Linked DNA regions of Drosophila melanogaster. The main gene of each other region encodes a partner of the protein of the gene in region 4 in a complex. Each region holds a gene or a part of one and is shown on either strand. Other genes may lie near its edges.

Region 1 (4,915 bases), on a different chromosome or scaffold from region 4:
GATGTCTCGGTTTAAATCATTCAAAAAGACTGGGAAAGGGAAAACGCAGATTTTGCTGCAAACAAACAGCGGGACTACTGCACACTTTTCCCAGACACATTGAAAAAACCGTGGTTAAAAATCCCAAATGTAAACTTAAATCTACAGAGATCAAAAGAATCAACAGACTTCTCAGCGATAACGGATTCGACAATTATACTTTGAATAAAGTACATGTTACAATAACATAAGGGGACCAAGTAACGTTTTCGATAACGTATCCCACATCTTAATCAGCTGTTCCAAGTACAACACTTTCCAGCCCTGGAAAAATACCAAGACATCAACCATCTCTCTAAAAACGTAAACATAAACGCTTAACAAGGCATCATAGATTTTCTAGACCAAATTAAAACAAACCTATAAATCTTTCCAACCTTCCTTGGCACTTTCCACATACACGACCAAATAATTCCACGACATTTACGGAAGTTACCTAAAACAAAAAAATACACAACCTACAATGTGTGCATTTACGAATTTATTGGTTTTGCTGTTATTTGCGAAATTACAAGGTATTACACTAATTAAAAATTTCTAGACGATATAGAGAAATCCAAAGTCAAAATTGTACTAATCATAAATATTTGCACAATGCACGCGGCCAGTTGCAGTGTAGCTATAGTCCTAAGGTGTACATCCCCTTCCACAGTTAGGAGCACTGAACATCAAACAGCTCGCAAATACCTTCGTCGCTTTTTAACGCAAAGTTGAAGTCTTCCTGCGGAGGATTCAGCTGCAGCAGCGGCGGGTTTTCTGCAACATCGGACAGCATCAAGTTAAACAGGGGGTCTTTTAAATTGGCAAGATAAGAAGACAAACCTAGATTCGGATCATCGGGATAAAATCGCCGCAGCGAATGACCGGACAGATAATTTTGGAAGATTATCTTGGCCGTCAGCTCGTTCTCCAAAAGTTTCATCTCATCTTTCATCCCGGGATTGCACGAGTAACCGTGCTCGTCGGTGATCACGTTCCCCGCGCATGCTGGAGCGTTACCATCCTCGCTGGAGTGCGACGACGTCGAGGGTGAGGGCGTGTCCAGACGGTGATAGTCAAAGAACCCATCCACATCGTGCGGATTTGTAGTACTCTTTCCTTGGTTCGTCACCAGGCGAATGTCAATTGCGCTGCCATTGTCCAGCGACACGGCCAGCTCGTACTACAAAAACAATGTTTCGTTTGAATCCCATATTATACGATAAATTTAGATATTTCTTCGTTGAAAGAAATGGGAAACCTCGAAAGCTAGTTTAAAGAGCTCCGACTGGTAAGATACCTACATGATTACGCTTGATATCTACTTCCTCGTCATAATTAGGTATTGTGAATACGGAATCATCTCCAAAGATGTCCAGCAGATCATCACGTGTCACATATGCATACGACCTATTCGAGGGATCCTGCATAACGTAGCGCAGATTGCGCTGTGCATACTCCAGTTGCCTGTCTAGGTCATCCTCCAACATTTTCAAATGATTAGTCCGGCTACGTGCCAGGTCGTAGTTCTCTTGGTCCTTGGCATTGTTAAAGCCCCCTCCGCTGGAAAATGCACATTATCAATAATTTATCAAGAAATATTTATGTGGAATCATACTTTGAAGATGATCAAAGTAAATTCCACCTGTTTGTACTGTATTAAGTATTAAGTGCTAAAGGGCGACTTCCACCCCATTTTGTTTAATTTTGTTGTCACTAACATTTTTAGTTCTAACTAAAATGTTTCATAAAATGTAAGGGGCTCTTACCGCCAGCGCACTAGGGAGCAGTGTCTGCCCTTATCAATTAGTCCAATGCCCTCTAAAACATTGGTAATATCGTATATTCGGCGCTTCTGTACGTCCAAGATTTTGGTTGCCTGCAGAGGGGAAATTTGGACGATGTTAAGGTAGAGTACTTAATGCTTGGCCGTGTTAGTACCGCTTTCAGGTCGATGGATCCTTCGTTGGCCTTCACGAGATCCACAAACTTCTGTGTGAGCAGGACCAGTGAGCCCACGGAGCGCTGTTGTCCAGGCTGCGATTGCGATTGTGAATTCGACGGAGACTTGATTGGCGTTGGAGGATCCGGTGATGTGTCCATGCTAACGGGTGTAGACTCGTAGCTCTGCGACCGGACCGAAGTCTCAGCCGAATCCACCTTCATCATCATAGCCGAGGAGGTGGTGCCCGCTGCGGAGCTGTCTCTTTTAACAATACTCGCGGTTTTGCGCTTGTACATGGTCCGCAATCGACTCGATGACTATACTCCTGTCCTTGTAACTCTTTGCGTGGCTGCACTCAATATGCAGCGATCAAGAAGCCGGAATTAATTGCACTTTGGAGCGAAAATTAAACGAAAATACGAATGTTGGCGCTAGGTTTGCTTTCCGCCATTTATGTCATTTTTTTCATTCTCCCTCTATTCTTCGTGCGCACTGCGCAGTGTGGCAAAGCGACGCTGCCACGACGATAGTAAATCGATTAATCGATGCTTGCGCACATTTCAACACTATATTTTAAACAGGTAAACATTTTTAATATTTTGATCTTTAATTTCAATTAATTTTCATTTAAATTCTGTATTTAGTTTAGTCTGCAGTCCAACACACAGATCATCCAATGTTTTCTACTTGGTCTTCAAATGTATCATCACGAATAAATAATAATTATTTTAGTACTCCATAATATTTAGCCATTCGTTAAGGTTTATTGTCCGATAATATTGGCGACAACTTTTAAATGAAATTGGGTCTTTTTTAGGTTTCAAATTAAAAGCATTAACCCTTTGAAGGCGCCTGTGCTAGTCTTGATCGTTTACAGAGCATGTATAGCACAGCTGGAAGTTTTCTTAAGAGTGCCCATGAAGATGGAGTTGAGCTTGTTTGTCAGTAGGGTGAATTTAAAATTTTAAAAAGATCAACTTGATAACGAAGGATTGTTTTAACTTTCAACAGTAATTTAAATATTTACTTTAAACATCGCATAAACACGAGGGCGCGCCACGTTTTCTAGCTAGGCTGAACGATGATTTGCAGCACTGGCTTTCCCCATTTGTTGTGCTCGGTCATTCTGCTTTTGAAAAAAATTAAATGTGCCTGATGGTTTCGCCCTAGTTTTTAAACTCAAAGGACTTCTACTATATTAGATTCAAAAATAAATAAGGAAAATGCCATCCAAATCAAAGCCGAGACTTTCGCGTGGTGTCCTGGACATGAAGTTCATGCAGCGCACAAAAGTTAAAGTGGAAAAGGAGGCAGACGATGAGCAGAGCAGGGCACTGTACTCCAACGAGATCAACCAGAAGATGCTCAATTCCACCTCGAATTTTGTGGTGGAGTCCAGCTACTCGATATGCGCCGGCCTGATAGACGGACGCCTCAGTTTCCGCGGCATGAATCCGGAGCTAGAACTTCTCATGGAGCAGGATCTGGCGGAAAAGCAGGGCCGCACAAGGCCGGAGCAGCCCAAGGAGGTATCCGACCAAGACATGGTAAAGGCTTATTATGCCAACAAGGCGCCCACGGTCTCCGGCAGCATGAGCAAGAAGTTTAACACCAAAAAGGACTTTAAAAGGAAGCAAATCGGCGGAGATAGTGATAGTCCGCATGCCATGAAGAAGCAGTACTTTAAGAAACCACGCTCGGGTGACGAATAGTTTACTACTTAGTTGTTACACTCGTGACTTAGCTTTTAGTTAAATAAATATACGAATTCAATTGTACTCGCGCTGTGCTTGTTTCACCGCCTGCAAGGCGTAGCACATCTGGTTGTTGTTGATCCATCGCCAGGTGTTGCTCCAAAAGTCGTAGGTGCTTCCATTTACCAACACCGTCTGACAGTTCACTGCAGATGAACGAGAGAATAAAGAATAGCCTAATCTGAATATAAAGCCTGAGATAAACTTACTCGTATCCAAGATGCGCTGAACGTCCAAGGGCGAAATCATTTTGTCCCAGTGGTGCGTTCCCCTGGGCACCAGATTGAGAACATACTCGCTGAGTAACACGCCACCGAACCAACTGGGTATGGTTTTGTTCAAAGTGGTGATAAAGATGGATCCTCCAGGCTTTAGGCTGCGTACACTGGCCTCCAGCAGGGACACTTTATCTTTGACGTGCTCCAGAACTTCAGACACTATCACCGCATCATAGCATTCGCAATTGGCCTTGGCATGCTGATCCACCGGCTCAATTTTGTACACCACATTGCTGGCCAACTCCGGACTGGAGCATTTGAGATGCTCGCGAGCAGCTTCTATTAACTTCTCGCCAAGATCTATGCCAGCCACCTGGGCACCCAGGCGCGCCAAGTGTTCCGTAAGCAATCCTCCGCCACATCCGACCTCCAGAATATTTTGACCCAACAACACTTTGGTGGTATTTACGTAACCTGGCTTCACAGTGCCACGCGAAACGATGCCATCTCTGATAAAGGGAACCCTGAAAGGTGGAAAGGAACTTAGCTATAAACCTTTGGAACATCAAATCTGTATAGCTTACCTAATCTCATTCAGGGCATGTAGAGCACCCATGGTTCCATTTTGATTCCACCACTCCGAGGCGTGATTCTCATGGTGCCGCACTTCCTTTTGGGTGCCGGCATCCAACGACTTCGCTGTGCTGCTGCTTCTAGTCGAATTTCGCCCGATAGAACAGGATAGCAAATGTCTCAGTTTGCTGGAATGCAAAACTGTAATGTAATCTACTTTTGCAGTCTATTTTTTGACTTACCCGCTTACTAACAAGGCATTTCGCATCATTTTTGCGAGAAAAACAAACGTTGATAAACAAAAACAGCTGACTTTGTTTTGCTGCCCGGCGAAAGCATGGGCGTAGCCAGGTGCATTAAGGGGGATTGACAATTCTTGAATATTAAACAATAACTATTATTTGTCA
Region 2 (4,950 bases), on a different chromosome or scaffold from region 4:
ATAAATAGAAATGCAGCGGGAGAGCAAATCTAGCACTCTTTTTTTTAGTTTTTGTGTTTACTTATTTGCGTTCATTGGCTTCTCTTCCTAACGGCACTTCGGGCCAAGGAGGTGCGAATGAAAAGGAGCTATAATCCGGTTTTATATCGCACTTACCTTTTTTAATTAGAATAAATCAAAACTTTGCTGCGGATTCCGATTCTCTTTATTTGCTATCAAAAGCAAAGCGGACTTTACAGTTACGCCTGTTAAAGTTGTTGTTTTTACTGCACGGTCTGCGGGCCAAATAAAAACAACAAATACTATATTTTTGCTGTTTACTTTACGCCGAACTTCGACGCTAATTGGAAAAAGAGATGCGGGAAGGAGAGAGAGCAATGAAAACTATAATTAAACGCCAGCAAAAAAAGGTCTTAAATATCCTGCGGGCACAGCAACAACAACAGAGAAAAATACAGGAGGAAAACCAAGAGAAAGAAGGGGAGAAGTTAACATAAAGTAACAGAAAGTTGCGAAGGAGAGGCGTTGGTCTCCGAGGGGGAAAGGCATAGGAAAAGACTCTTAAGGGAAAAAGAGAAAAGTCGGAAAGAGAAAAGCTGCGCAGGATATTTTAGCCGCCTATGAAAAATGTTAATTTTGTTTTAAATGTTCACTGCGGGTTTCATATGTTTTTTCTTGCATTATTGGCCACTTCGCTTTGTCACTTTACTTCGGTTTTAATTTTTCCACTTCTTCATTCGCCCAGTGAGTGTGTGCGTGCGAGGGAGATGGAGCGAGAGAGCGTGTTTGTGTTTCCACTGCAACTCCATTCTTCTTTCTCTTTTTTCACACACACACACAGGGCACACACGCACACTTGCACATGGGGGAGTTGGAAACTTACGCGTCGCCGTTTTATTAATTTTATTCAATTAACAATCGCCTCTAATTCAGCAACTCCAAAACACTACAAAATCTCGTTGTACTTGAGCACTATTGTTTGTCGATAAGAAGCCGCCGAAAAACGCCGACCGAGGAGGAAAATCACCCGCGCTGGAAAATCGCGTCCGAGTCGTTCAACGGTGAATTTTAGAGTGAGAAGGAAAATCGTGGGAAACTGCGGTGGATTTTAGAGCGAGATGGGTGATGCTCTGAAAGAGAGAGAGGGAATGCACCCTCTGGCGATGGGCCAAGTTCGATATTAGCATGGATTCCTATCGATTAATCGACTTAACATTATTTACCCCGGACTACAACCTATTACTTCTGTGTTTTTGTTTTTCTTAAATTATAATGAATCATTTATATTTGTATAGAAAATATTGAAATCAATTAGTTTATTCGAATGCTTAAACTTAAATGTTTTCCAACAACATCTCTAGTTCCAGCTTCAGACTCTGCAACGTGATCTTAGCCAATAAACTTTGCTTTATAAACTTATAATTGATCCTTGCTATTTTTCCAAAAAATATGTCGTGATATTTGATAATTTTTGATAAGTACATAGGTCTGATTGTTTATATATCTAATAAAAAATGACCACTCTGTATGAAGAGGGTAATCGTATTTCATATGTAAATTTATTAAATATATTTCTTTAATAAATAATTAAATATATTTGTTTGGTATTTTCGGTATTCATGCAGTTAGTATTAAAAGTATATTCTGCAGAGCCGGGAAGTGTGGATTTAAAAAAGTCCGCGGTCACACTGCCCATCTGCAGAGGTTTCCTCTTCGCGAATTTGTCTTGTGCGCTCCGATTTTGGCTATATAGTTGCGCCAAAGTGCCAAAAATCGGACCGGCACCAAAGTAAACCATCTTCTGAGCTCGCAAGTTCATCCGATCGACGAAGGATAGAAAAACATCGACTTTAAGGGGATTTAAGACCCGCCAACAGCACCGCAAAATGCAGTCTCACAGCAAAAAGCGCGTTTGTTACTACTACGACAGTAAGTTTTGAGCATTTAAATGGAAGTAAAAGGCCTACTAGATGGGTAATTTGTGTTTACAAAGTGCCAGCTAGGGTTACCATGTCGACTTTGTGTTTTTTCCGCATCCACTTAGCATCAGATGATAGCATTTTTGCAAATTTCAAGTTTTACGGCGACTGTACGAGCGCGTTCCGGTCCACAGCGCACTTTTTCCATACGACCGCAGTGCGTTTGTATGCGTTTGTGTGTGTATGTACCTGATGTCTATCTTCCTCTTCTGTGTGTTTTTGTTGCTTTTTCGTTCGGGGCGAAAGTGCTACTACTGCGGTCGTTCGGAAAAAGTGCTGCTCTCAGGCAGACGCCTCGCCGACAGTGGCCTTAAAATTTGTATTCCACATAGCGTGGCAAATAATTACTTTTTCAACGTGCTCATAATTGCGATTTTTGATCCATAGGCGACATTGGCAACTACTACTATGGCCAGGGTCATCCCATGAAGCCCCATCGCATACGCATGACCCACAACCTGCTGCTCAACTATGGGCTCTATCGAAAAATGGAAATATACGTGAGTTACTTTATTAATATGTGATGATAGATATATATATATATATGATAGATTTAAACGCGAATTTCTCTATTCTAGCGTCCCCATAAAGCCACTGCCGATGAGATGACCAAGTTCCACTCGGACGAGTACGTCCGGTTCTTGCGATCCATTCGGCCGGACAACATGTCGGAGTACAACAAGCAGATGCAGCGTTTCAATGTCGGCGAAGATTGTCCCGTCTTCGATGGACTATACGAGTTTTGCCAACTCTCCGCCGGAGGATCCGTAGCTGCGGCCGTAAAACTGAATAAGCAAGCCTCGGAGATCTGCATCAATTGGGGCGGTGGGCTGCATCACGCCAAAAAATCGGAAGCCTCGGGCTTCTGCTACGTCAACGACATTGTTCTGGGAATTCTGGAACTGCTTAAATACCATCAGCGTGTTCTCTACATAGATATAGACGTCCATCACGGCGATGGCGTGGAGGAGGCGTTCTATACCACCGATCGTGTGATGACTGTCAGCTTCCACAAGTACGGAGAGTATTTCCCGGGCACTGGCGATCTGCGAGACATTGGCGCCGGCAAGGGAAAGTACTATGCGGTGAATATACCCCTGCGTGATGGCATGGATGATGATGCGTACGAGAGCATATTTGTGCCCATTATCAGCAAGGTGATGGAAACATTCCAGCCGGCAGCCGTGGTGTTGCAGTGTGGCGCCGATTCGCTGACTGGCGATCGGTTAGGCTGCTTCAATCTCACCGTCAAGGGTCACGGCAAGTGCGTGGAGTTCGTGAAGAAATATAACCTGCCATTCCTGATGGTCGGCGGTGGTGGTTATACCATTCGTAATGTATCCCGCTGCTGGACCTATGAGACCTCCGTTGCACTGGCCGTGGAGATAGCCAACGAACTGCCCTACAACGATTACTTCGAGTACTTTGGGCCCGATTTTAAGCTGCACATTAGTCCCAGCAATATGACGAATCAGAATACATCCGAGTACCTGGAGAAGATCAAGAACCGTCTGTTCGAGAACCTGCGCATGCTGCCTCACGCTCCGGGCGTTCAAATCCAAGCGATTCCCGAGGATGCCATCAACGATGAGTCCGACGACGAGGACAAGGTCGACAAGGATGATCGCCTGCCGCAGAGCGACAAGGACAAGCGCATTGTGCCCGAGAACGAGTACTCCGATTCGGAGGATGAGGGCGAAGGCGGTCGCAGGGATAACCGTTCGTACAAGGGTCAGCGGAAGCGGCCGCGTCTCGACAAGGACACCAACAGCAACAAGGCATCCTCAGAGACGTCCAGCGAGATCAAGGACGAAAAGGAAAAGGGTGAGTGATTAACCATTAGTCATTTTAATTGGTTCTACTGACCACTTGTAATTTGTATTTAAACCCTACTAACTAAACCATTATGCTGTTTTCAGGCGACGGAGCTGATGGCGAGGAATCGACGGCGTCTAATACCAATAGCAACAACAACAGTAACAACAAGAGCGATAATGATGCCGGAGCGACAGCTAATGCCGGATCCGGTTCGGGATCAGGTTCCGGTGCCGGGGCCAAGGGCGCCAAGGAGAACAACATTTGACGTGGCGGCCGCAATTGGTTATAGAAGCCAATTAAGCGACCGCCGAAGTACAAGCCACCGGATTTCACCTAGTGTCGTCTCATTCCCGCGCCCCCCTTCACCAACACGCCCCGTAGCCATGTCCAGGGCTTTTTCTACACGCCCCTACACAAGGTCCCACTGCGATCGGCTCCTTTTTTTCAGTGGGAATATTCCCAAAGGGGGATAAATCAGTAATCAGTGGGCGGAAACACAATTTATTTTAAGATCGAAAGTGTATAGCTAAGCAAAAAGTGAATGCATACTTACAAGCGATCCAATGTGGCGAATAACGCAGAAACTAATTTAATCAAATAAAAATATTTATACATTTATTGATTTTAATTTTAATGGAAAATTAATTGAGCTGCTATCTTTTAAATATTTTCTTTTGGAAGTATTCGATTTCCCATTTTTAGCAAAATACTTACGTTTCCACATTTAGGTTTCTTAGTAACAAACTAAACGATAATTTGTAACAATTTATTTGTATTTTAACTAGGACTAGCTAACAATTTTTAAGATTTTAACTTTGAGTTTCTAAGTTGAGGAGATTGTGGCATTTGGGGGGGAGAAAAGGATCCACTGGGGGTTTTCCCGCCCACCAGTTGACAGTTTGTGACTAGTCGGCGAGGTTTTCCACGGATTGCAGTGGGCGGAGAACTGGAAACTGGCTGCGGTGCTAATCCAGCGATAATATCGAGTCGATGCTGGTGCGATTACTGCGCGGCTGCAGACGCGGTCCACCCAAGTAACTAATTGGATTCGCGAACTGGCGCTGCAGCAGTGAGTTTTCCAGGAAAAGCGTCGGCGGCGGGGGTGGGCGCGTCACTTTCGAGTGATGCTGTCGCATCGGCACCAATGGGGATT
Region 3 (7,749 bases), 290 kb from region 4:
TTTGTTTATCCTTGTAGCCAACATTGCAATTAAAAGTAAACAACAATCAGATAAATCTACAATCTTCTTTAGAAGTAGTGTTTCCCCGCAAAACAGGAATATGTATCTTTCATTTCATCTTTTGGCGACTTTATTTATTATATTAATTGTTCCCATGTCCAGAGTTTTCATCAATGCTCATGGCAATATCCTACATAAATGTTAAAAACCTGCCACCATACGCTCATATACATATGTATATATTTATATTGTATTCCTTTAGTCCGGCGGAGCCACAGGAATGATGATGGACCACCTGCCCTCCAACGATAAGCACGTCCACGCTGACTTCTACAATGATTTTGATGATCTGTTCGATGAAGACAACTGGGCCAAGATGAAAACCGATGGGAAACAGTAGAGGCCACCACGCAATAAATGGATTGAAAGATTTGTATTCGCGACTCGTTCTTCTGTCTGTAATTTTACTTGCACAATCAGCGATCATTGGTGTATAAAAAATTGCTTCAACTATTGTTTAATCGCTTATTATATTCATTTGGTTCGTATAACTAAGGTAAATTGCCATGTGAGATAGTGCCGAGGTGGATATGAACTTTGGCTTAGCGTAAATCAACAAAATGCATAATTTTGTACAAAAAAACGAAACTATTAACTAAATTTATCGAACTGAGTTTCAGGTGGAATGAAGCAATCATAATTGAGATAAATACAAATGTACACAATAACCTAATGGATCCGTGGAAGTTGTTAACCAAGTTGTAGGCCCTCTGCAAAGCTATCCGTCCAACGGCGTGCCCAGATAGACCATCGAGACCTCGGTATTGCCGTAGACAGCGGATACTGTGGGATAGAGCTTTTTGTCCGGCAGGCCTGCAAGGTGAAAGTGCATAGAATCGTTCGTATCGCTGGTATCACCAAACTATTTCCCCTTACCCCGGAAGGCCACACCGAGGAACTCGTAGTTCTTCTCGAACGACAAGGTGTTGTCCTCGCAGTCGAGAATGACGCGTATCCGCTCGCCCACTTGGTACTTGGGAGCATTGTTCAGCAGCGGGTAACTGCCCTGCATGTCGCCGTTGTGCAGCAGGTGGTTCTCGACCAGATTCCAGCCCCAGCTCTGGTCGTCGGAGCCGAGCAGAGCCACATAGCCGTGACACTGTAGAGCCGCCTCCTTGGTAGATATGCCGATGACGGCCACAGTGCCCAGCGGTCCCTCCCATATCACCTCCCAGGTGTGACGACCGTGGCGGAATCCTATCTTGCCCCGGGCCGCGTCTGTGCTCTGCGCCACGGGATTGCTGCGGGAATGGAGGGACATACATATAACGCCGACTCAAGCAAACCGAATACCTTACCGATGCAGGGTGAATCCGTTCGGCTTAATGTACACATTCCTCGAACAGTCGTTGGGGCTCCAGGCGTGAAAATAGGCCCGCAGCTTCGTCTTGTACGTGGAGACGGAGGCCAGCAGGTCCGATTTGAGGGACTCCTTGGGCAGCTTGTTCAGGCAGTGCCAGCGCCAGACGTCGCTGTTCTCGTCGTTGAGGAAGTGGTACCAACTTTTGCACACCTGCGAGCAATGACTGAGGTCGTCCAGCTCCAGGTAGGAGAAGATTACCTCCAGCACATTGTAATTGCACAGCGCCGCCACCGGATCGACCATTGTGTGCGTGTGCGCTCCGCTGCTGGGCTCGTGTAGATAGCTGCTTGGATTTACCCGTTCCTGTTGATTGTCATTTTCCCACACCAACCAAATGGGTAAAAATAAAACTCGAAAACTTTAATATTCTGCGATTCAGGGTGACCGTTGGCGGGCTGCCAGCGAAATACCGCTCACCTGGACAAAGTGGCAACTTTGTTTACATCCGCGACCAGTGTGCGATAGCGACTGTCGCACACAGCTGCTTACAACACTGCGTAAATTGATGCGTAAATTGGCGCGCACTGTCTGCCATTTCATTCGCACCCGCACACAGCCTGCTTTGCCTTTCCCACATGAAAACGAAAAGCAGCCACTTGGTGGAAATTTTGTGACCATTTTGTTGCGCTTAGAAATTGCGGAAATTCGCGCTGCTGCCAGCCGTTCGATAGCTAAAAGTTCGCCGTATCTTTTGCCACTAATCTCGTGAAAATCCGTGCGCCGAAACACCGCGAAAAAGGCCACCGAAAAAGGGCCGCCGCTGTGAGTGTGTGTGAGCAGCAGAAAAGAAAAAAAAAATGCCCTGCCGCTGGAAGTGAAAAATGCGCTCGCCATTTTGACTTGGGCGACACTTATTTTTTGTACAAGTGCGCTCCCCATTGCAGTCGTCGTCGTCGTGGTCGTGGTCCGCATCCGGATTTGCACACGTGCCCCAGTCCGTGGGTGCAGTACGTCCGCCTATCCACCGCCGTCGCCCATTCCAGCTCCATTTGCCCCCCCCTAGCACACACGTTGCGGCGAAACGGCACGTAGCACTGCTCTTTCCTTTTGTTTTTGGCGGTCCACCTGGTGAGCGGTAAGCGACAACAACAAGATCACTTGATCTCCGGCGGCCGAAAAATGGCGCATTCGACGGGCGGTACGGTGAAGACCGATGAGGTGAACTTCTTCTTCCGGAACGAGCACGGTAAGTGGGCGGAAGCGGTGTCCTGTAATAGGAGTTTTGCTCACGATGGAGTGAGTGCACTCCCTCCCTCCGCTATAGTCCATCATACACACACACCCCCTCATACACAAGGCGACCCACACAGATACGCTACAAAGTTGCATGGGCAGCGTAAAACGCCATCTTTGCTTTTTCGGGTTTCTTTTGCCTACCGTATTCATCGTTTGATACGCTTTGCGGGGGGAGGCCAGCGAGACGAACCGAAAAGAGTGCTAGAAATTGGCAAAAAGTAATAATAAAAGACAGAGACCCCCGCGAAATAACAACTTATATCAGTAAGCCACCCAGACCCGCCCCCTTCTGCCATCTACGCCCATCGCCCAGTTGGCGCGCTTGCTCACACACACACATGCACGCACACTAGCACGCGCGCGTTTTCTCCTACTTATTTTTTTGTTTTTTCATTGGGCGGCGAACAGCTGATTACTTCGCCGCCACTGCGAATTCGCTTTGAGGATTTAGCATGAAGTGAAGTAGTGATAAATCGTTGATTTCAGCTACGTACAAAGGTATTATTGTGAGGGACATTGTAAATTCAACTTGAAACAAATGTATCTGAACAGCGTGACATTCTGCCATATCTTAGCGAGTGGGAGAGAGACGGGGCGCACCGCCAAGAGAGATCGGGGTGAGAGAAAAAAGGCCACAGCAAGAACAACACTGCCACACACACACACACGTAGTCAGCCACGAAGCTGAAGCCCAAAACAGGCGAGAGCAAATAGGTGTAAGCGCTGTACACGTGTGTAGTTGTCCGTCGCCGCGTTTATGCGGTATTTACCGTACCCCGCAGTACTGAACTGATTAACTTCATGAGTTTCATTCAGTCATGATAGCAAAGAAGAAGATATGGATAGCTTTATGACGTGCTTTTATTTGTATAAAATGTCTCTTTAATCCCCAATATGTAAAGAAATAGTAATTTTTAATCAGTGATATTGCTCTTTGTTGAATATGAAGCGCGCATAAACGCTTTATATAGACCAGTATATCAGCCTGTTCGTACCAGCGAGTTACCTGGTTTGTAGTTATCTGCTGGTTGACTGGTGCAGACGAACTATGGAACTGCTTCTCCAATTGTAGGGATTATGGTTTCACCTGCATTTTGGGACTCTGCCTAGGCATTGTAGGATAACTCCCGCCGAGTTTAAGACTCCCATCGTTACCATCTGGTGGGACAGTCCGGCATTTTCTCGCATGTGTCCGCTGCTCAAGCCCCCGTGAGTCTGACTCACTTGCAGGTGTGTGTGCGTGTGATGTGCCCGTGGGTGCGGGAGAGTTGGCAGGTATTTTTAGCGCTCGACCCTTTGCGGTTTTTGTTTTGGGCATCTTCATCTCCATTATGCGTTGTCCACCTGCTTTGTTGTTATGATTATGCAAATATTGGGCTGGCGACAGGTGAACAATTATTACATCGAATGAATACCATCTAAAACTGGAAATGTTTAGAAAAGCCGGTTGGATACGAAACCCAGGGGTGCCAACCGAGTAGTCTTAATGGGTTTCCGGTTAATTCTGCCTTGATATTATAGTTGCTTTGGAATGGAAGTGCTCATAGTGTTGGATATACCAAATTAGCAGTAAATAAAATTTACTAAAGAACGCAACTAAGAACAGTGATTTGAAATGTCACGCTTTTAAAAATACTAACCGGTATCATATTTGCTCTTACTTTTTCTTCTGCTTAGGCTTCTGCTTGATTTATTGTCTTTCCAGTTAAAAGTCGAATTGTGAGTTTTAATGGGAAACCTATAATCGCACTATATTTAATTCAAATTATATTCGAACTTGGATTAATCCGACTAATGACTGATCAACAATCTTGTCGAGTCACGAACTTTAGTATCGAACCATCTCTAATTGGTTAAGGGTCACGTGGTTGCCATCACTAATGTCCAGGCGATCTGGTTTCGGGTTGTTTATGCTTCTGCATTTGTATCCTTGTCACACCGATTGAAACACACGCACACTCACCACCAGCACGTGAGTGTGGGTATACCTTGTGTGTATGTGTGTATGCACCCCAATCTTAATGTGCCGCTCGCCTTTCGTTGTTGTATTCCGACTCCAGTGCGCTTAACTCGCTCCATTCCATTCTCTTCACTTCGCTGCGATGAATTCACCGTATATACGGCGAAAAAACGCATCGTTGATAGTACCACACATACATTCAGTTACTCGCTAACACTCTGACACCCATGTGTGTGTCTGTGGAGTACATGCAGTTTTGTTATCAACGACGGCATTTCAGTCGCGTGTTATGTGTATATCGGAAACTAAGGAACCTCCGCATCTTCCAATTTCCAATTCTGCAGGACAAATATCCAAAATGCTGAAGCCGGCCCAGAACAAGTCCGAAATGGAGGGAGGTAAGCCCGTGGCGGTGGTCTACGCCACCGGCTCATCCGCGCGCAACAGCGGAAGTGCTAGCGGCATCGGCAACGTGGGACGCATGGGCGCCTTTAGTCAGATGGTAAGTGTAGAACGCGGTTGCTCACGTTGCTTACACTTAGTACCTAACGATCCGATTTAAACGCAGGGCAGTCAAGGGCAGTTTATACGACTGCAGGACAACGGACTGTCCATTCCAAAAACAGAAGGTAAGCGTGTGATCCTCCTCTTACCACTTCAATTAATCATTGTATCCCTTATTGTAGCAGGTACCACCTACACCACCGTTTCGGCGCAAAAGACTTCGGGTGCTGGCAGTGGTCATTACGACTTGCCCTTGAAGGGAGATCGCTATGTGAAGTTTACACCAAATCCCATAAAAATGAAATCAAAACTGTAAGTAGTAACCAACCGAGCAGGATCGAGGAGGATACTATAGCTTTGTTCCTTCCCAAACAGCCATGCCATTCAGAGCAACTCGTTGCACTCCATGTCGGCCTCCTCATCGTCCGTTCAAAGGAAACGCAAGCCGGACAAGGCAGGCAAAGGTTTGCGCCATTTCTCGATGAAGGTATGCGAAAAGGTGGAGGAGAAGGGCAAGACCACCTACAATGAGGTGGCCGACGACCTGGTCAGCGAGGAGATGAAGAACAATGCGTACGACAACAACTGTGATCAAAAGAATATCCGACGTCGTGTCTACGATGCGCTCAACGTACTGATGGCAATCAATGTTATTTCCAAGGACAAGAAGGAGATTCGCTGGATAGGACTGCCCGCAAATTCGACAGAGGTGGGACTTGTGTTCACCAAAGGCACCAAACTCCATGCTAATGTGATTATTTTGTCCCCTTTTCATAGACATTTCTGGCCCTGGAAGAGGAAAACTGTCAGCGCCGCGAGCGAATAAAACAGAAAAACGAAATGTTGCGCGAAATGATCATGCAGCATGTGGCGTTCAAGGGATTGGTCGAGCGGAACAAGCGAAACGAGAGCCAAGGCGTGGTGCCTTCCCCGAATGCCTCGATCCAGCTACCGTTCATCATCGTGAACACGCACAAGTCCACGAAAATCAACTGCAGTGTGACCAACGACAAGTGAGCGCTCACACTCAGTCGGAGTATGGCTTGTATTCTATTTCCCATATATCGTTTCAGGTCCGAATACATATTCAAGTTCGACAAAACCTTCGAAATGCACGATGACATTGAGGTGCTCAAGCGTATGGGATTCCTATTGGGTGAGTGTGTTTAATATTGGGCATTCGGGATAAGAAATTCATTGCATATGCTATTACCTGCAGGACTGGATAAGGGCGAATGCACGCCGGAGAACATTGAACGAGTCAAGTCGTGGGTGCCTCCAAACCTTGCCAAATACGTAGAAGGTATGACCATATATTGTCTTCCAATTCACTGTTATTAAACTTTATATTTGGCCCAGCCTACGGCACCGGCAAGACTGGCGAAAATATGTACGAATCGGATGACGAGGACAATGAGTTCAACGGGTACCTGGAGTCGGCCAATGAGTCCCAGGGCTTTGCACAACACTCGGCACAACACACCACCGATGGCGAGTTCAAGCTGGAGATGGATGATGACGAGCTGGACGACGACATTGATTGAGCTGATGGTGCCGCCGTCATTGTGCCAGCCATGGCCGATGCGGACACGGATGCGGATGGAGGAGCAGATGCTGATGCGGAGGACACGTTTAGTTTTACGTTTATCAACGCTTTGTTAGGTTTGCCACGGCCCCCTGGTTAGTCAGGAGCCGCACTCCACTCCAATCCACTCCACACCCAATCCGACCCACCCACACAATTGGTTTTGTTTACTTCTCAATGAGACTCTTAAATTATATATATACAATCTCGCAGCGACGAGAAAGATTCGGTAGTTCATGTATGTAAGTGTAGTTTGCATACACAGTTTGTAATTGTATCATTGAAGATTTATGTTTAAGCTGAAACGTTTTTAAAATAATTTGTCTAGTTAAGGAGAACGCGTTTTTAGTTCAAACCACAATTCACATAAGGCAATACCGCGAAACCACATGCCCAGACTAATGTTCACTCTCTAATTAGTTGTTATCAGTCTCCCTTTTCCCCCCAATGGCCTTTTCATGTTTGGGTAGGCTTAAGCAAAAGCGATAATGTTATGGGTAATTGTCTCTTAATAATATAATATACCAAAACTGTACACAACCGCAGTGAAATGCAATTATTTTTAGAATGCCACGAGCAGTTTGAACTGCAGACAAGAGCGAACATATGAAATATGTTTAATTTGCTAACACCCTTTGACAAAGCGATTCTTTTAGATTCTCAAAACCCAAATTTTAAGTTGACAAGGGAGTGCAGATAGTTGCGAAATAATCAACCTACCTAATTAGTAATAACAATTAAAACACGATATACATTTTCAGAATTTGTATTTATATTATTGAACCCTCTTCAAGTGAATACAACAGCATGCAAATACAAATTAGTAGTCAAGTATAAGGCGTTAACAATTAAGTGTCGAGCATGTAGTTGTGTAATGAAACGAAATAATTGCATGGATGGAAAGGAAATTGCAAACAAGTGAGACGAAATCGAACCGAGTGACAAGTTAATAAAGAAGTAATTTGCATATTGTAAAATATGATAAACAGAGAATTTAATCTTTTCCTCCCTTCTGCTTGCACCCAACCCAAGCAATAAGTC
Region 4 (5,644 bases):
CCATGTGGATCACGGCAAGACCACGCTCACGGCGGCCATTACCAAGGTCCTGGCCGACAAGCAGCTGGCCGAGAGCAAGAAGTACAATGAAATCGACAATGCGCCCGAGGAGAAGGCTCGTGGTATTACCATCAATGTAGCCCACGTGGAGTACCAGACGGAGACGCGTCACTACGGCCACACAGATTGTCCGGGACATGCCGATTATATTAAGAACATGATCACCGGCACAGCCCAGATGGATGGCGCCATTCTCGTTGTGGCCGCCACCGATGGCGCCATGCCCCAAACTCGCGAGCATATGCTGCTAGCCAAGCAGATCGGCATTGATCACATCGTGGTGTTCATCAACAAGGTGGACGCCGCCGATGAGGAGATGGTCGACCTGGTGGAGATGGAGATCCGAGAGCTGCTTACCGAGATGGGCTATGATGGTGACAAGATCCCTGTGGTAAAGGGCTCGGCGCTGTGCGCCCTCGAGGACAAGAGTCCCGAGATCGGCAAGGAGGCGATCCTGAAACTGCTCCAGGAGGTGGATAGCTTCATCCCCACGCCTGTGCGCGAGCTGGACAAGCCCTTCCTGCTGCCTGTTGAGAATGTGTATTCGATTCCCGGACGCGGCACCGTCGTCACTGGTCGCCTGGAGCGCGGAGTGGTCAAGAAGGGCATGGAGTGCGAGTTCGTGGGCTATAACAAGGTGCTGAAGTCGACGGTGACGGGCGTGGAGATGTTCCACCAGATTCTGGAGGAGGCGCAAGCCGGTGATCAGCTGGGAGCTCTGGTGCGCGGCGTTAAGCGAGATGACATCAAGCGCGGCATGGTCATGTGCAAGCCGGGCAGTGTGAAGGCACTCGATCAGCTGGAGGCCCAGGTGTACATCCTGTCCAAGGATGAAGGCGGTCGCACAAAGCCCTTCATGTCCTTCATCCAACTGCAGATGTTCTCCCGCACCTGGGACTGTGCCGTGCAGGTGCAGATTCCCGATAAGGAGATGGTCATGCCCGGCGAAGACACCAAGCTCATTCTGCGCCTCATCCGGCCAATGGTCCTGGAGCAGGGACAACGCTTCACGCTGCGTGACGGAAACCTGACCCTGGGCACTGGTGTCGTCACCAGCACTCTGCCCCCATTGACTGAATCGCAGCGATCCGAGTTGACGGAGGGCAAGAAGGCGCGCGAGAAGAAGGTGGCGGCTAAGAAGTAGATCCCCGGAACGCCGTCAGTCATTAACTAAAATCATATTCTTAAGCGATTTTTATGCATATTGTATAAGTTGTTGGCGCTCCAATCACAATCGAGTAAAATATAAACAAACACCTATGGACAACGAAGTTTTAAAACTTGGAATATTAGTAGGGATCTTAAAATTGATTTAAAATAGTACGGCTTTTAAGTATTACTGTTGTTGCCTGACATTTCGGCATTTCAAAGGACTATTTGTTATATAAAGTTATGTAAGTAAGCATTGATCATTGATAAAGGGCAATATTTAATTTAGGCGCCACTCATCGATTGCTTATCGCTCTATGTTAACGGCATCCGAAATAGAGTGGTATCGAAATGGAGCCGATAAAATCAAACAAGGCCGATAATAACCTGACTACGACATTTTACAACACTGCTGCAACCGCCTTGAACGCAGCTGATGATAAAGAACATTTTGAAATTGATTTGAAAATTGGCAAAAATGAGTACCTACCGCGTAGACTACTTGACCGGTAGATTCAAGCACCGTAAACGTTTGTTTGCAAAGTAATTAATAACTTATTTTGTCCGCAGATTCCCTAGACGACACGGAACCATTGCCGGAGCTGAGTTTTGAAGACTTTTTGGAGCCAACGTCGGAGAAGAGTTCCCAGCACATGGAAATCGAAGCTCTGGACTCAGAGGAAGACAATATCGGCGGTGAAGATCTGGCCGATCCGGCCAACGATTCCCTGAACACGCCGCAGTTTAAGAAGAACGTGGTCCACATACTGGAGGACAAGAGGTTAAACTCGTCCGGACTAACCGTTTTGAAGTCGCACGCCATTAAGATGGTGACTGCCGGAGGTACTCCTCCGGCCAAGGCGCAAGTTACAGACGTAAAGATACTAAACAAATTGAAACCAATACCCAGCAGTACGCTAAAGATCGGTAGCACGACCATAGCGACCAAATCCACACCGGGCAGCATAACCAAGACTTTGGGCAACTTGACCCAGATTAGGACGAAAGATGGCCAAGTCATCTTTGTCCAGAAGTCTGTTCCTGGAACACAAAGCAGCACTGCGGTGACAGGGTCACCAAGCGGTGGAATAAGACGCCTCGTGGCGCCTTCTGGTATCCAGAAGGCAGTGCTTTCTAAGGGCGTGACCATGGCAAGCACGGGTCTGGTCAAGGCGGCTGTTCCTGCCAAAGCAAGCACCTCGGTACCCGGCTCAGCCATAACCTTAAAGGGCATCCAACCGCTGGCCGGAGGCACTGCGAAGGCGTCGACTTCCAGCACGACGGCAACCACATCCCCATCTTTGGCACAGCCCAACAAAATTCAGGTGGTGCGCACTGCCGATGGCAAAATTATCAAGATCAATCAGGCTGGTCCCTCACTGCTGGTGAACGCCAAACAGGGAACTGGGACCACAGTCACACCAGGAGGTTCTGCCGCCACTTCTGTCAAACTATCTCCCTCCACGGGAAATGTGGTGCTCAACAAGCCCGTTGGCCAGGTAGTGGTGAGAACAGAAACTCCTGTAAAAACGGCGACGGGCTCCGTTGCCAGTGCATCCGCAACACCGGGCAAGATGTTGGTTCAAAGTGGCGGCAAACAGATTCTTGTATCCAACAAGAACATCATTAAGCTGTCGCCGAATGCGAGTGCCACCAGTTCGACAACCCACACGACGGGCGGACAGACACCTTCCACCTCGAGCGGATTGCACGCTATTCAGCTGCCTGGCAAGGGAGGAATACAATATGTACGTGTCCTGAACAACAATAAGAGTGCCGCCGGAACAAGTGCAACAGCCTCAATCCCGAAAACAGTGCAAACTCAGAAGATCACTGTGGTGCGGCCACCGGCTGCTACTGGTGTTCCTGCCACATCTACTACAACATCCGCAGCAGCAGCTTCACCTGCAGCCGCATCGAAGGCAAACCTTGCCATGGGCAACACTAACAAGATTGTAATGCGATCAATGGGTGGCAGCATTGTGCCGCTGCCTTCCGTGCAGACGTTGGTCTCAAAGGTTGGTACTTGTGTTGGTACAAATTTATTTCATTCTAACTCAATTTCCATCTTTAAAGCGTGCGCTGGGCGCCATCTCCAACGCTTCAAAACCAGCCAGTGCGGCGAGCAGCAGCGCCACGCCGAGTGCCAGCCAGGAGTTGCCACGCAAACACCGTCTTACTGATCTCAATGTGCAGCTAAAGCAATCGGCCTCGGTCAGCAGTGAAGCTAGCGACAGCAGCGATGCGGGTCCTGAGGCCAAAAAGCCGCGTTACGTTATTACCATGCAGCAAGGATCACAGAAGGCAGCTTCCCAGCCAGTTCAGAAACTAATTAATCGGACAGCGAATGTACAGCGTGTGGTGTCTAGCAGTACAAGTCCCAGTTCCAACTCCACAAAGAAAATCTACAACTATGTTCAACCGACTGGAAGCAATGGGGCCAAGTACATGATCTGTAACTCGGGTGTGCCCCAATCATCGACGAGTGCCATGCGACGGGGATACACTGGATATGTGGAAAACAAGACGCGACGCCCGCCACCCATTTCCCCGCAACAGCACCGCTTTAAGCAGATGGGTCCCCAGCAGCAGTCCAAGCACCAGCAACTTCAAGCGCAGGCCAAGCAACGGATTAGACAGCAGCAACTGCCTACCGAACAATCGACGCCGATCAAGGTCGAGCCAAAGTTGCCGACACTGCCTCCGGGGGTGAAGGCCAATGTACCTGCCAAGCCGCTCTTTGAAGTCCTAAAACCTCCAGCAACCGCGGCAGCAGCCGGAGCCGTCGATCCATTGGGCGGCATGACTTCGCGGCGAAAGCACTGCAACTGCAGCAAGTCGCAGTGTCTAAAGCTTTACTGCGATTGCTTTGCAAACGGCGAGTTTTGTCAGGACTGCACCTGCAAGGATTGCTTTAACAATCTGGACTACGAAGTGGAGCGGGAGCGTGCTATTCGCAGCTGCCTCGATCGTAACCCCAGCGCCTTTAAGTAAGTTTATTTGAAAGGAAAAGCTTATGAGGTCTATCCTATGTTTCTAAAGATGCTAATCACAACTACTTTTTTTTTTTTTAAACAGACCCAAAATTACGGCACCCAATTCAGGTGATATGCGTCTGCATAACAAAGGTTGCAACTGCAAAAGATCGGGCTGCCTCAAGAACTATTGTGAGTGCTATGAGGCAAAGATTCCCTGCTCCAGCATATGTAAATGCGTTGGTAAGTGAACTGATAAATCTGTTTTATCTATGATCAAACTAACTGAATCAATCAACTTATTATTTAGGGTGTCGAAACATGGAAGACCGTCCGGACGTGGACATGGACTCTCTGGACGGATTGATGGGTGTCGAGGGTCAGAAAAAGGACAAAGCTAAAAACAAGCAATTGAACGAGAATCGCGCAAATATATATTTTACGGACGATGTCATTGAGGCGACCATCATGTGCATGATATCGCGGATTGTGATGCACGAGAAACAGAATGTGGCCGTGGAGGACATGGAGCGCGAGGTTATGGAGGAAATGGGCGAAAGTCTGACACAGATCATCGCTTTTGCCAAGGAAAAGCAAGAAACCTCTCAGATAGACGAGTCCAAGCCTTCTTCTTAGGCATGCAAATATAGTCACACATTAATTAGTTTATAAGTTCAAAGAGTTCTTGACCTTTTCTCAATCATATTCTAATTTTGGCTTTCTAAAAGTTGACCTTAAAGTAAAGTGTTTACCCTATTTAAATAATTTAAACACAAAATGTATATATCATACATAGCAAATTTCAGATATAAGGCTATTTTAATTTTTGGCCGAGCATTGTAATTGTGTTGTAAACTTTTCCCTTGGATTGAATGTAAATAATTTAGATACCTAATAAAGTTTAATGACCATTGAACACAAATGAAAAGAGACGTTGTGTTGTTTTGTAGCTTGTTTATTCACCAACAACTTCAGTTACATATTTGTATTTTGCATTTGCATTGTTTCAAATTTATTGATGGGCGAGTATATTAAACTCAACGCAATTTAGTTTGGTTTTTCACAATATCGGTATCAGCTTAGTTAGCAATATCTCTATAAAATAAACACATGTCGAATGACTACAGTATAGGTAATGCATATATTAGTTGATTGTATTGATAGTAGGTATTTAGTTTTGTATATATGTAGTTTTTTTTGTTTAAGTATAGTTATATATTCTACTTGGTCACCATTGGTATGTATAAATAGCATATAAGTATGTTTGTGTTCTGGTTTCTCCCGGTTCTCACCCTATAAACATGGCATGGCATGACATGAGTACATATGTGTGTATGTATGTAGTTTCAAGGTTTGAGTAAAAATGTGATAATCGTTTAAGGACTATAGTACATATACGTGGTTAGTAATGCTAATATATATATATATATATATGCCCTGTTATACATATTTTTCATACA

Evidence for each region.
Region 1: mip120 (region 4) and E2f2 share a complex: the UniProt entries of both Drosophila melanogaster proteins name them as parts of the DREAM complex.
Region 2: mip120 (region 4) and HDAC1 share a complex: the UniProt entries of both Drosophila melanogaster proteins name them as parts of the DREAM complex.
Region 3: mip120 (region 4) and Dp share a complex: the UniProt entries of both Drosophila melanogaster proteins name them as parts of the DREAM complex.

Annotation. Positions count from the first base shown.
Region 1 is NT_033779.5:21,153,785-21,158,699, forward strand, and holds E2f2 (E2F transcription factor 2), read right to left. Parts: upstream 2,966-4,915; 5' UTR 2,260-2,965; coding exon 1,960-2,259; intron 1,898-1,959; coding exon 1,788-1,897; intron 1,582-1,787; coding exon 1,323-1,581; intron 1,202-1,322; coding exon 862-1,201; intron 796-861; coding exon 692-795; 3' UTR 509-691; downstream 1-508. Other genes in the region: Mpp6 (M-phase phosphoprotein 6), read left to right, coding at 3,187-3,675; Coq3 (coenzyme Q3), read right to left, coding at 3,733-4,459, 4,520-4,696, 4,751-4,779. UniProt on the Drosophila melanogaster protein: Transcriptional repressor that binds to E2f sites and represses E2f-regulated target genes. Binding to E2f sites requires transcription factor Dp. Acts synergistically with Rbf2 to antagonize E2f1-mediated transcriptional activation.
Region 2 is NT_037436.4:4,625,054-4,630,003, forward strand, and holds HDAC1 (histone deacetylase 1), read left to right. Parts: upstream 1-1,680; 5' UTR 1,681-1,886; coding exon 1,887-1,929; intron 1,930-2,366; coding exon 2,367-2,479; intron 2,480-2,557; coding exon 2,558-3,803; intron 3,804-3,898; coding exon 3,899-4,062; 3' UTR 4,063-4,414; downstream 4,415-4,950. Other genes in the region: axo (axotactin), read right to left, coding at 4,763-4,950. UniProt on the Drosophila melanogaster protein: Catalyzes the deacetylation of lysine residues on the N-terminal part of the core histones (H2A, H2B, H3 and H4).
Region 3 is NT_033778.4:13,220,504-13,228,252, forward strand, and holds Dp (DP transcription factor), read left to right. Parts: upstream 1-1,929; 5' UTR 1,930-2,542; coding exon 2,543-2,609; intron 2,610-3,087; exon of another isoform or gene 3,088-3,157; intron 3,158-3,671; exon of another isoform or gene 3,672-3,959; intron 3,960-4,818; exon of another isoform or gene 4,819-4,908; coding exon of another isoform or gene 4,909-4,963; coding exon 4,964-5,121; intron 5,122-5,187; coding exon 5,188-5,248; intron 5,249-5,305; coding exon 5,306-5,435; intron 5,436-5,498; coding exon 5,499-5,832; intron 5,833-5,900; coding exon 5,901-6,136; intron 6,137-6,196; coding exon 6,197-6,279; intron 6,280-6,342; coding exon 6,343-6,426; intron 6,427-6,482; coding exon 6,483-6,667; 3' UTR 6,668-7,242; downstream 7,243-7,749. Other genes in the region: CG17059 (uncharacterized protein), read left to right, coding at 263-400; Fsn (F-box synaptic protein), read right to left, coding at 779-873, 937-1,301, 1,359-1,666. UniProt on the Drosophila melanogaster protein: Component of the DREAM complex, a multiprotein complex that can both act as a transcription activator or repressor depending on the context. In follicle cells, the complex plays a central role in the site-specific DNA replication at the chorion loci.
Region 4 is NT_033778.4:13,508,010-13,513,653, forward strand, and holds mip120 (Myb-interacting protein 120), read left to right. Parts: upstream 1-1,608; 5' UTR 1,609-1,687; coding exon 1,688-1,718; intron 1,719-1,779; coding exon 1,780-3,227; intron 3,228-3,285; coding exon 3,286-4,199; intron 4,200-4,287; coding exon 4,288-4,427; intron 4,428-4,494; coding exon 4,495-4,820; 3' UTR 4,821-5,103; downstream 5,104-5,644. Other genes in the region: mEFTu1 (mitochondrial translation elongation factor Tu 1), read left to right, coding at 1-1,204. UniProt on the Drosophila melanogaster protein: Component of the DREAM complex, a multiprotein complex that can both act as a transcription activator or repressor depending on the context. In follicle cells, the complex plays a central role in the site-specific DNA replication at the chorion loci.